Arabidopsis thaliana: one gene and its partner. The protein of the gene in region 2 interacts with the protein of the main gene of each other region in a pairwise test. Each region holds a gene or a part of one and is shown on either strand. Other genes may lie near its edges.

Region 1 (4,852 bases), on a different chromosome or scaffold from region 2:
AACAACAAACCTGTGCATCGGGGAAAACAGTTTCTCCACCCTTTGTGACATTGGACAGATACAAGAGAACCGTTGCTATGCGGTGTCCACCACGGGCAATGTTGACTTTGTCGTGGAAGTAGTCAAAGTGAGCATCATATTTCTGACCGTGCTCATATCTCAATACCTGAAGGTCTTCCCCGTTTTCTGTGACCACAAAGTGAAGAACTTAGGAAACAATAATATCTTCTGAAAAACCCTTTCAAGAAACTCAACAACAGTTAAGGTTCCTTGTCAATTGACATTGTGAAACAGAGAGACCACTATTGAAAAACCATTCAGATTGTTAAAGTTACCTTTTGGGAGAAATGTCCATGTTGAGAGCTTGTCCTCGATACCGGAAACAATAGGATCCTGTCATTAAACAAACGAAGCTTCACATTAAGATTGTAATCACACTGAGATATCTAAATTTCTCAAATCTGTTCCTAATAATCACTAAGTATCATTCATCATCCTTCATCCATACACAGAAGTAAATTTATGTCTAGCTATCACCCTAAAACCTTTTTAGTAGTAAACAACAATCACAAATCAACACAATTTGGGGTCAATTTACTAAGATCTCGACTTATCAACATCATTTTATCAAACTCTGATGACCAGTTCAATATGTGTGTGAACTTTTGGATTGAATTATTCTAAAATTTCTATTTCCATCAGATCTTGAGGGGTTTGACTTATCAGATCCATTAGTATCAGAAATCACATCAGAGATTCAGAGTTCTTGAGGTCGAGTGTCATAAATTAGAATCAAGATCAATTCCAATCAAGCCATTCAATGAGATCTGATGTGCCGAATTAAAATTGCACCTTTCCTTTGGAGATAAAAGTGCCGGAGCTGGTACGAACATCACTGACTTGACTCTCGCCATTATCGTTATCAGCAACCGCAGATCTCTGCAGATTCTCTTTCGCCTTTCCCCAAAAAAAAAAAAACCAAAATTAGATACTGAAACTAGCACATTTAAGCCAAAAAGTTTCCAAATTTGAGCTCAAACCCAAAGAGCAAAATTCGCACTCACAAGAGAGATTAGATGATCACATTCCAAGTCCGTCAAAAAACCTTCATACACAAATGCCCTGAAGAAACAGTCAATACACACAGTTGGAGGTTCAAAGTTTCCAAATTTGCTTCATTTCTCACTAAATAGACAAGAGAAAGAGTAAAATCAAACCTGGGCTTCGACGAAACCTGTTTGACTTTAGAAGGATTGATGATAGAACTTGGAGAACTAATCAGACAAGTGGAAGACTGAAGCAAGACGAGCAATATAGCGACGAACAACAACAATCCGAGCCGAGACATCGACATTATAGCAATCGTAGTAATTTCTTGGATCCAGATGATCGAGATCGAAAACTAGAGGATAATTTTATTTATTTTTTCTCGGAAAATAAAGAGGGAAAAAAAATGTCAACGGTCATGAAAAGTTGATGTTCTACCTAAAACAAGGAGGCTCAAGGGAGATGGTGACAACATGCGCACGTTCTTCTTGGTTGAACAATTATTCTTGTTCCTTGACCAAAGCCCATAATAAGCCTATTGTTACTTAAAAGGCCCAACATAAAATTCGGAAATAAAAACGACGTCGTTGGTTTTAAACGTAAAATAATCCTCGCCGGACGGAAGAGGCGTCACCAGAACAGAAAATTCAATTTGCTCCGGTTTCGACTTTAGCCGGCGACGTAATTAAACGAAGGTTGAAGGAGAATTAGAAGAGAGGCAGCGATAATCAAGTCAAGGAATTTTCTCAGAGAATGGCGTTTAGGCCTTTCGGGAAGGACTTAGGTCCGATGAGCTCTAAGCCAGCGCCGTTTACACCGTTCGGTGCTTCTTCAACCACTAGGTGTGCTCTTCATTCTCTATAGATGTATCTATGCTTCAATCGGACTTTTCTTCGAGTTTTGAGATTTTTAGGATTCATTTCACGCTATGGATCTATTATACTCAGAGATTTTTTTGAACTGTCAAATTTACATATATGCTATCGTTGTATTAAAGTGTTTAGGATCATGAGAATGAGAGAAGTATCTTGAATTTTCTATGATATTGTGTTCTATATCACTTAGGCAGTCGGGTTTTGCTTCTTCATCTTCCTTAGGAGAAGCTGCGAGTTGCTTTACTTTGCTTTTTGTTCTTAGATTGTACCTTTCTTTTTTATTCTTACACACTGCGAATGTTGGATTTGCTTGTAGTGATTCATCAATTCAACCACCGGCGTCTCAAAACCATTCAGCCTTTGCAGGACAATCTTTTGGACCTGGTGGAATTCGAAGGTTAGATTAACCTTAGCTCTACAGCTTTGATTTCTTTCTATGCGAGTATGTTAGGTTGTTTCTGAGCCTCCATAGGAAGAGCCTATTGTGCTACTTGTTGTAGTTTTCTTTCGTAAATTCGCTCAGTTTTCTTTCGTAACTTTGGCTTGTAGTGGTCCTTCAATTCAGCGAGCACCACCTCTGTCGGCTTCTCAAAACCCTCAGCTCTCTATAGGGAAACCTTACCGACCAGGTGGGGTTCAAAGGTTAGACATTCTTAATCGTATGGCTTGCTTTTATTCCTTTTCTCTTTCAGTTCTATGTGTCTAATGATGATGTTAGGTTGGTTACTTATTCAATTATTAATTTTTCAGTCTACTCTCGGGTTTTCTTCTTCTTTAGATTCTAGCCTAAGTTATTATGGTTTTTGCTTGCAGTGTTCCTCCAATTAATAGAATACCATCTCCGTCGGCTTTTCAAAATCCATCACCCTCCTCAGGACAACCTTACCAACCTGGTGGAATTCAAAGGTCAGATAACTTACTATTATGGCTCTCTTTTTTTTTTTTCACTCCTTATACCTGTAAAGGATCTTCGGGAACCCAAAACAGTGAAGATGGGATAAACCAAATTTTCTGTTTTCTTTGGCTTTGATTCTTTTTGTAAAACTTCTGCTTGAATCTTCTATATGTTGCACTAATTTTTACGCCGAGAAAGTTATAAGAACACTTTGATGCTATGTTTTTCAGGATCCCAGAACCTTTCAATGGAATAGCATGGGGTCCAGAAGCTTCACGTACAAGCCCCTCTGTGAGACCTTACCAATTTCCTGGAGTTCAGAGGTAAAAGTGTACGTGACATATTTTGACTAAGAAGAGTGTCATTACTCATATGCGGCTGTGTTAATCACACATCTCAAATGCTTTCAGTTTCTGCAATTGAAATTATAGCAGTAGGAAGAAAGTAGAGTGTGGCGGAGTGCTATAAGTTTCTCTGCCTAATACATAAGGGCTTACTATGGCAGCGGCTTTGAAGCTCTAAAGAGATCATTATCGCTGGATTTGGCTTATAGCCTTTAATAAGCAAGCTGCTGGATTTTTCTTAACGACTTAGCTGAATTTACCTGCTTCATTTTTCCTCACAGGCCTAATTTAAATCCTCAATATGGGCACGATGGATCAAGGAATTTCTTGAAAGATCATGGTGAACATAGTCGAGCCACGTCTCCACCTGCTACATCTCACATTCTTTCCAGAATGGGAACTGATGCTGTTGAGATTGGTCGATCACAAGATTCAAAAAGAAAAAGGTCGTTTATGCCATTTCCTTTAGATCAAGGTCATTTATGCCAGCAGGATCTTTCTGAAATAAACATTCTGTCTGTTTTGTATCCCTATCTTATCCTTAACCTTTTAACATCTGTCCTTGTGGGAGTTTACACCTTCCTTGTTCTGCATCATGTATCTTACTCTTTCAGATTTTATCAGTTTGTTGTGTGGCCTAGGTGGTATGAATGAGATGTCATAGACATGGCCATGGTGTTTACTGATATCCTGGTTTTTTTGATGTAACTAATATCGGTCTATAAAATTCTCAATTTTTGTTGCAGTCGGTCAGATATTCTTCCTGACCAGAATATGGGGTTTTCTCGAAGAAATCAATCGCCAGTATCAGGTTTTGAGAATGGAAACTTGGTAGATGGTTTTCAGCCACTTTCTAGCCGAACTTGGATGTGAGCTTTTTATCCTCTTGTCAGTGTCATAATGTTTTCGTTTCTCATTCTCTTTTCGCTGTTGGTTTTGATTGGTTTTAAAAAGGTCATAAAATATTTCATTTTGTGGTGTCTTTACTCTTTGTGGATAATGATTTGAACCATACCTGTGTCTTTGCTCCTTGATCTTTATACTAATTTATTGTTCTATCCTCTCACTAACTTTTGAAACTTATTTCCTGGAACCTTTTCTCATGTTTGTGTAGGCGCTCTCCGTCTTCTGCGGAGAATAATCCGGTGAGGTCGAGGAGCAATCCCAATCAGTTGATTCATCAAGAACAAACCGGAAACTCGTCATTCCCCTATGCACATGAAGTAGCTGAAATTCAGGAAGCTACTAGAAGAAAGTCTTCGGCTGTAGCACCTTCTGATAAACCCCTTGGAGATGACCCCATATTGTCTCAACATGACTCTCAAAGGTAGACAGCATGAATCTCATCGTACATTCTAAAGCTTATTATGTTTTATTCACCCACTCTGTGCCATACGTGTACGTATGAATGGCAGGAGAAATCACGATTATAGAATAGAGTTACAATCCTAAGAAACTTTATCGTTAGCAAATCGGCTTAAGAAACTTTATCTTTAGCAAATCGGCTTATGAGCGTATTCACCTTAAACTTAGATGGTTGCTTGGAAATTTTTCTGCTACTAGCCTTTGAAGTCATGCTTACTTCTCCTGCAGCTTTATCTTAATGCTATTGCAACAAATCTACTTTTCTCTATCTGGTTTGATGTGCCTTTGAGCTTCCTCCTAGTTAAGCATGCTGTTTCTGTGATAGG
Region 2 (5,614 bases):
TAATCCTAGTATGGGACCAGTACAGGCGGCGTTGGTTGATTATGTGGCTAATGGTGGTGGAGGAGGATACGAGAGGATCGTCGGAGCGGTTCTGGTGGAGAAAGAAGATGCGGTGGTGAGGCAAGAGCACACGGCGAGGTTGTTATTAGAGACTATATCGCCGAAATGCGAATTCAAAGTGTTTCATTGCTATGAAGCTTAGAGAATCATTTAATTATCCGAAAAATAAAGGAATTTTAAAAAAAAAGGAATAAAAAGAAAATGAGACTTTTTAATTCTTAAAAGTGTTGAAATTGACGGAAAAAAAAAAAGTGTTGAAATTGATGTGATGGATAACACATAGAGAATAAGAAAAGTTTATATTTTTAAATTTGTTAAAAATGTTTATTGTATTAAAAAATTAAATTTAATACAATTATTATGTTTATGGAGTATTGTTAAAAAAAAAATTGTTGATATTAAATTTTTCCATTTTTTGATATTTTTTTTTAATATCCCCTTTGAAAATTTAATTTCGTCTATAAGGGATGGATTATGTGGATTAGATCAAATCGGCCAAATTTTATAAAATTGACAAGGTTTTCAAAAGTCTCAAATCGAATCAATGATTTTTTTTTTTACATGTCAAGTTATGATGTTTCTTTTATGTACGCAAAAAGGCAAAAATAAATGAACGTAATGATGGCTTTACACATTGAATTTGTTGGAATAAAGGTTCCAAATACGAAGTATGAGAAAGTAGAGAATATAAGATGGTCCACATGCAACTCTTACTATGAGTGGTGAACAATGAATCTAAAGATTTTTAGATTAGTTTCAAATGGAATGCTTTTTAAATAAAATGATATATAAGAGCATATTTTAGTAGGAACCTTCATACCAAAAATAAAGTAGGAACCTTAAAAACCTCTCAAGTTTCTCGTTATCTTCAACTTTTAGCATTACACATAAATACTAATCCTGGATTGACTTCTCTCAACTCAAAATTTCTATTAATTGTGTGTTCAAGAATAAAATATATTGATAATTATATGATTAGCGTGATTTTTATTTATTTATTTATCATGTACATGTAGTAGAGGCCTTTGCTAACTATGAAAGAAGGGGAATATCAATGGGAATATATAGAAGTGTGAAAGTATAAATCACATTTGGAAACAAGTGATTTATTTGATCAGTTAATTACTTTTGACAAGTTGATTATATTCATTTCTTCGAGTTTTTGGCAACTTGTTGAGTTATATGCATGGTATAAATTGATTTCATGTCCCTTCAAGAAAGTTCCTCACGTCACCATCGGGCTAAGAAGACATATTTACATACAGATGTCAACATTACGGACGATTACATGAACTTAAAAAACCTTAAAGCAAATTAATCATGATCTATAAAACGATTATATGAACTTAAAAACTCTAAAAAAAATTCATGATCAGTACCACCGATTACAGGAACTTTAAAATCCTTCCAACACTAATGATATTTTCAAATCCTTTACAAATAAATTTTCAAACATTTTAATGATTGTATTTCATATGGGCCTTAAATGGCCCAACTAACATATGTCAATAAGTCTAATACCAGAAAAGACTAGTACGTAGTAACAATTTAGTTAATTACCAAACGCCGTCGTTTTTCTCAACTCCGTTATTTCCTTTTTTTTCCTGGCGACTTATTTGATTTCGTGTCTCTCTCAAAGAATAAGGAAGACGCAGACGAAGAAGGTGACAATGGCGTACGTTAGTATGGGTGAAGCTCACCGGAGAATCACTGAATACCTAAACCGATTCTGCGACGCCGTTTCGTACCAAGACTCTTCTACACTTTGCCGTCTCCTCTCTTTCTCTTCCAATTCTCCACCTCTTCTCTCACTCGCCGACGCACTCAACGTCTTCCAGGTACATATATTCTCTGTTAAATCGAGACCCATGATTCAAATTAGCAGCTTGGAGTATGTTCCTGTGATTAGTGGCATGATCCTTGTAAATTGGTAAAGTTAGGTTCGATTTCAAATCCAGGATGCTTCTGATATGTTCCGATTGGGTTCTCGTATGAATTGTGAACACTAGGAGCATGGTTTTTATGTTAGCAAAGTTTGTAACTTTTAGGTTAAATCGATTCAATGTAAGATCCTTAAGAGTATGATTTTCTAATTGGGTCCTCCTACTTCACCAATGAGTATGAATTTCTGAATTTAGGGCTCAAAACACTAGGAACATTATCTTTATGTTAGCAAAGTGTGTATCTTTTAGGTTCAATCAATGTCAATCTAGGATCCTCCTACTTCACTAATGAGTATGATTTTCCAATTGGGTCCTCCTGCTTCACCAATGAGTATGAATTTAGGCCGTGAAAGTGTCTCCTATTGAGTTGTTGTAGTGAACACTCTATGTCTATGTTTGAGTTTATGAGTATGGATTTTAGATTTAGGGTTTTTATTTATATGTAGAGAGCTGTGAAAGTGCTGAATCCTTTGAGTTTTCTTTTCTTTGACTGATACAGGATTCTAGCAGTTTGATTAGACAGTCTGATAGATTCTCTGAATATGGCGAGATTCTGGCTCATGTGTTTCGTTCTCTACAAAGTTACCGAGTTGGGAATCTAGTCGAAGCATACCTTGCTTTCGATAAGTTTGCCAAGTAAAGTCTTCTTGTTCCTCTCTGCTCCTCTATTGATGTCTAATATGATTTCAGGGTGATAAGCTTTTTTTTTTGTCTGTTCACAATGTCTGATATCTGATGGATTCTATATGTGCAGTGCATTTGTTCAGGAGTTTCGTAATTGGGAATCTGCTTGGGCATTGGAAGCTCTGTATGTAGTTTGTTATGAAATTCGAGTTCTTGCGGAAAAGGTAGTATCTCATTTGTATATCCCTTTTTCAAAATCTTAACCTTGTCTGGTTTCATTGTGTCGAGGAGTCAGTTCTGAAAGCATGATTTTTCCACATGGAATTGCAGGCTGATAAAGATTTAACTTCTAATGGAAAGTCTCCAGAGAAATTAAAAGCAGCTGGGTCTCTTCTCATGAAAGTTTTTGGAGTTCTTGCTGTAAGTTTTCCCTTTGATCTATCTATATATCTTCAGGAATATTAGTTTATATTTGTGTTCAATATTTTTTCCGGCTCCTTATGTAGTTTTAAACTATAGGGGAAAGGTCCAAAACGAGTCGGAGCATTATATGTGACTTGCCAATTGTTCAAGACCTACTTTAAGGTGATATGCTTTCTGGCAACAGTTTGATATTTATGATTTAACCATTAAATGGAGTACTAAACAGGTATCCCCAATTTTGTATTTTAGCTTGGAACCGTCAATCTTTGTCGAAGTGTAATAAGAAGTATCGAAACTGCTCGGATATTTGACTTTGAGGAGTTTCCAAGAAGAGATAAGGTCTGGCGCAGTTCTCTGCAAACAGTTTTAGTTTTTGGCCTCCTTATTCGGTTACTTATTATCTTCTGTTTATTCTTCGCAAACACCAGGTTACATACATGTATTATACCGGCCGATTAGAAGTCTTCAACGAAAATTTTCCTGCTGTGAGTCACTAAGAGATTTTTTCTTACCATCACAGTTCATTTCGTAGTGTCAATCCAAATATTGATAGTAACATTTAATCTCTTTTTTTGGATCTTGCAGGCTGATACAAAGCTATCATATGCCTTGCAAAATTGCAACCCCAAAAGAGAACGAAATATAAGGTCTGATTCTGGTTTTACTCTGTGATTACCTTACTCTTGCATTGCGTTGCTTAATCAGCTAATGTGGCCTTATGTGAATCAGGATGATATTAAAGTATTTGGTACCGGTGAAGCTTTCTTTAGGAATTATACCAAAAGATGAGCTCCTGCGAAATTATAATCTGCATGAGGTAACGACTTTTCTGTTGTTCTATAAAATTTTCTTCGAATCTATGTCAAAACTTATTTCGCATCTGCTGAGTGATATCATATCTCTCTTAATCCTATTTCTCTACGTGTCCAGTACACAAAGATTGTGCAAGCTCTGAGAAAGGGTGATCTAAGGCTTCTCCGGCATGCTCTTCAAGAACATGAAGATCGGTATGTATTTCTTTCGATATCTTGCTTTTCTCATCTAATCCAAATGATAGAGTCCTTGTGGATACTCTAGAGCATGAGTATTGGAATTAGTATAGGCTGCTTGTAGTGGATTATATAGCTCTGCTGACAGGTCAGTAACACCTGGTTCTTAGGTAGAGAGCTAACAGGTTAAAAGAAAATTGGGGCAGAAAGAGTTGGGATGTTCTGGATTTGTCTAGGGGTTAGGATTTGCAGTTGGGTCGAGAGTAGAGTTGTGCAAGTCTCTATATGATGAGTATTTTGATTCTATCACCGAACAACTTAATATCTCGATCTAATACTCTTCTTTTATACAGGTTCTTGAGGTCGGGTGTGTATCTTGTCTTGGAAAAGCTAGAGCTCCAAGTCTACCAGAGACTCATGAAGAAAATGTAAGCAAAGACAAGCTATGATACCATCCAAGATTCTTGAGTTTATAACTCTTATTATTATCAATGTTTCAGTTATATAAACCAGAAGCTGAGTGATCCAGCGAGAGCTCACCAGCTGAAGCTTGAAGGGATTGCCAAAGCACTAAGATGGCTAGATATGGACATGGATCTGGACGAGGTTTGTTCTACAATACCATCCCATTCATTGCTTTTGACTTCTTCTAAAATTGAAATCTTCTATAAACTCACAGTTGTCAAAATAATACTGTATTTGCAGGTGGAATGTATAATGACGATATTGATATACAAAAACCTTGTGAAAGGTTATTTAGCTCACAAGAGCAAAGTGGTAGTTCTAAGCAAGCAAGATCCTTTCCCTAAACTAAACGGGAAGCCTGTTAGCTCATAAGTCTTCACGTGTTATTTTTTTTGTTGTATCAACAAACACTTTTTATTTTCTAATTGTGTGTAAAATTCATTCAAACAAAAAACAAAAACTGTTTTTACAATAGAAATGTGACTTTAAAACTGTGGAGTTTTCACCATGGTTGAGGAGTCTACTTACGAGTAAGGTCCAAATTTCCACTGAATATCGACATGAGAAGAATAAGTGATTACGAGTTTTAGTTTAGCAAAAAAAAGAAAAAGTGATTACGAGTCTCATTCGTATCTCCACAGAAAAATGCAATTTGATCTTTGGCGAGAGTTCCAGTTCCATACTTCCATTACCTTATTCTTTTTACATCAATAGGGGGCCTCATTGTTTTCTTCTCTACGATTACCACCTGAAGCAAAAAGACGATGAAGCCAACGAAGATCGTGATTCCGAACCGCCGCAACGAGAAGCTCGTGGGTCTGCTTCACGAAACTGGATCAAAAGAAGTTGTGGTCTTATGCCATGGCTTTAGATCGGACAAGACCAACAAGATTCTCAAAAACGTGGCTACAGCTTTGGAGAAAGAAAAAATCAGCTCTTTTCGTTTCGATTTCTCTGGTAACGGAGATAGTGAAGGAACTTTCTATTATGGTAACTTCAACAGTGAAGCAGAGGATGATCTGCATTACGTTATTCAACACTTGTCCTCCTCTAACATCATGAACCGTCTAGTTCCTGTCATTCTTGGTCATAGTAAAGGTGGTGATGTCG

The links. Proteins that work in one complex are often made in the same cells at the same time.
Region 1: the proteins of EER5 (region 2) and SAC3B interact in a two-hybrid assay, tested with the Arabidopsis thaliana proteins (one study listed by BioGRID).

Annotation. Positions count from the first base shown.
Region 1 is NC_003074.8:1,904,246-1,909,097, reverse strand, and holds the start of SAC3B (SAC3/GANP/Nin1/mts3/eIF-3 p25 family), read left to right. Parts: upstream 1-1,800; coding exon 1,801-1,889; intron 1,890-2,184; coding exon 2,185-2,319; intron 2,320-2,471; coding exon 2,472-2,564; intron 2,565-2,735; coding exon 2,736-2,828; intron 2,829-3,047; coding exon 3,048-3,140; intron 3,141-3,400; exon of another isoform or gene 3,401-3,442; coding exon 3,443-3,607; intron 3,608-3,907; coding exon 3,908-4,030; intron 4,031-4,275; coding exon 4,276-4,488; intron 4,489-4,851; coding exon 4,852-4,852. Other genes in the region: P4H2 (P4H), read right to left, coding at 11-186, 336-393, 853-957, 1,065-1,122, 1,218-1,354. UniProt on the Arabidopsis thaliana protein: Component of the TREX-2 complex (transcription and export complex 2), a muliprotein complex that functions in docking export-competent ribonucleoprotein particles (mRNPs) to the nuclear entrance of the nuclear pore complex (nuclear basket).
Region 2 is NC_003071.7:8,465,186-8,470,799, reverse strand, and holds EER5 (proteasome family protein), read left to right. Parts: upstream 1-1,654; 5' UTR 1,655-1,730; coding exon 1,731-1,898; intron 1,899-2,502; coding exon 2,503-2,639; intron 2,640-2,728; exon of another isoform or gene 2,729-2,749; coding exon of another isoform or gene 2,750-2,757; coding exon 2,758-2,851; intron 2,852-2,957; coding exon 2,958-3,047; intron 3,048-3,146; coding exon 3,147-3,212; intron 3,213-3,299; coding exon 3,300-3,389; intron 3,390-3,478; coding exon 3,479-3,535; intron 3,536-3,635; coding exon 3,636-3,697; intron 3,698-3,779; coding exon 3,780-3,867; intron 3,868-3,980; coding exon 3,981-4,057; intron 4,058-4,392; coding exon 4,393-4,467; intron 4,468-4,539; coding exon 4,540-4,645; intron 4,646-4,744; coding exon 4,745-4,876; 3' UTR 4,877-5,110; downstream 5,111-5,614. Other genes in the region: CDA1 (cytidine deaminase 1), read left to right, coding at 1-202; AT2G19550 (alpha/beta-Hydrolases superfamily protein), read left to right, coding at 5,269-5,614. UniProt on the Arabidopsis thaliana protein: Involved in the regulation of ethylene response. Probable TREX-2 component required for nuclear RNA export.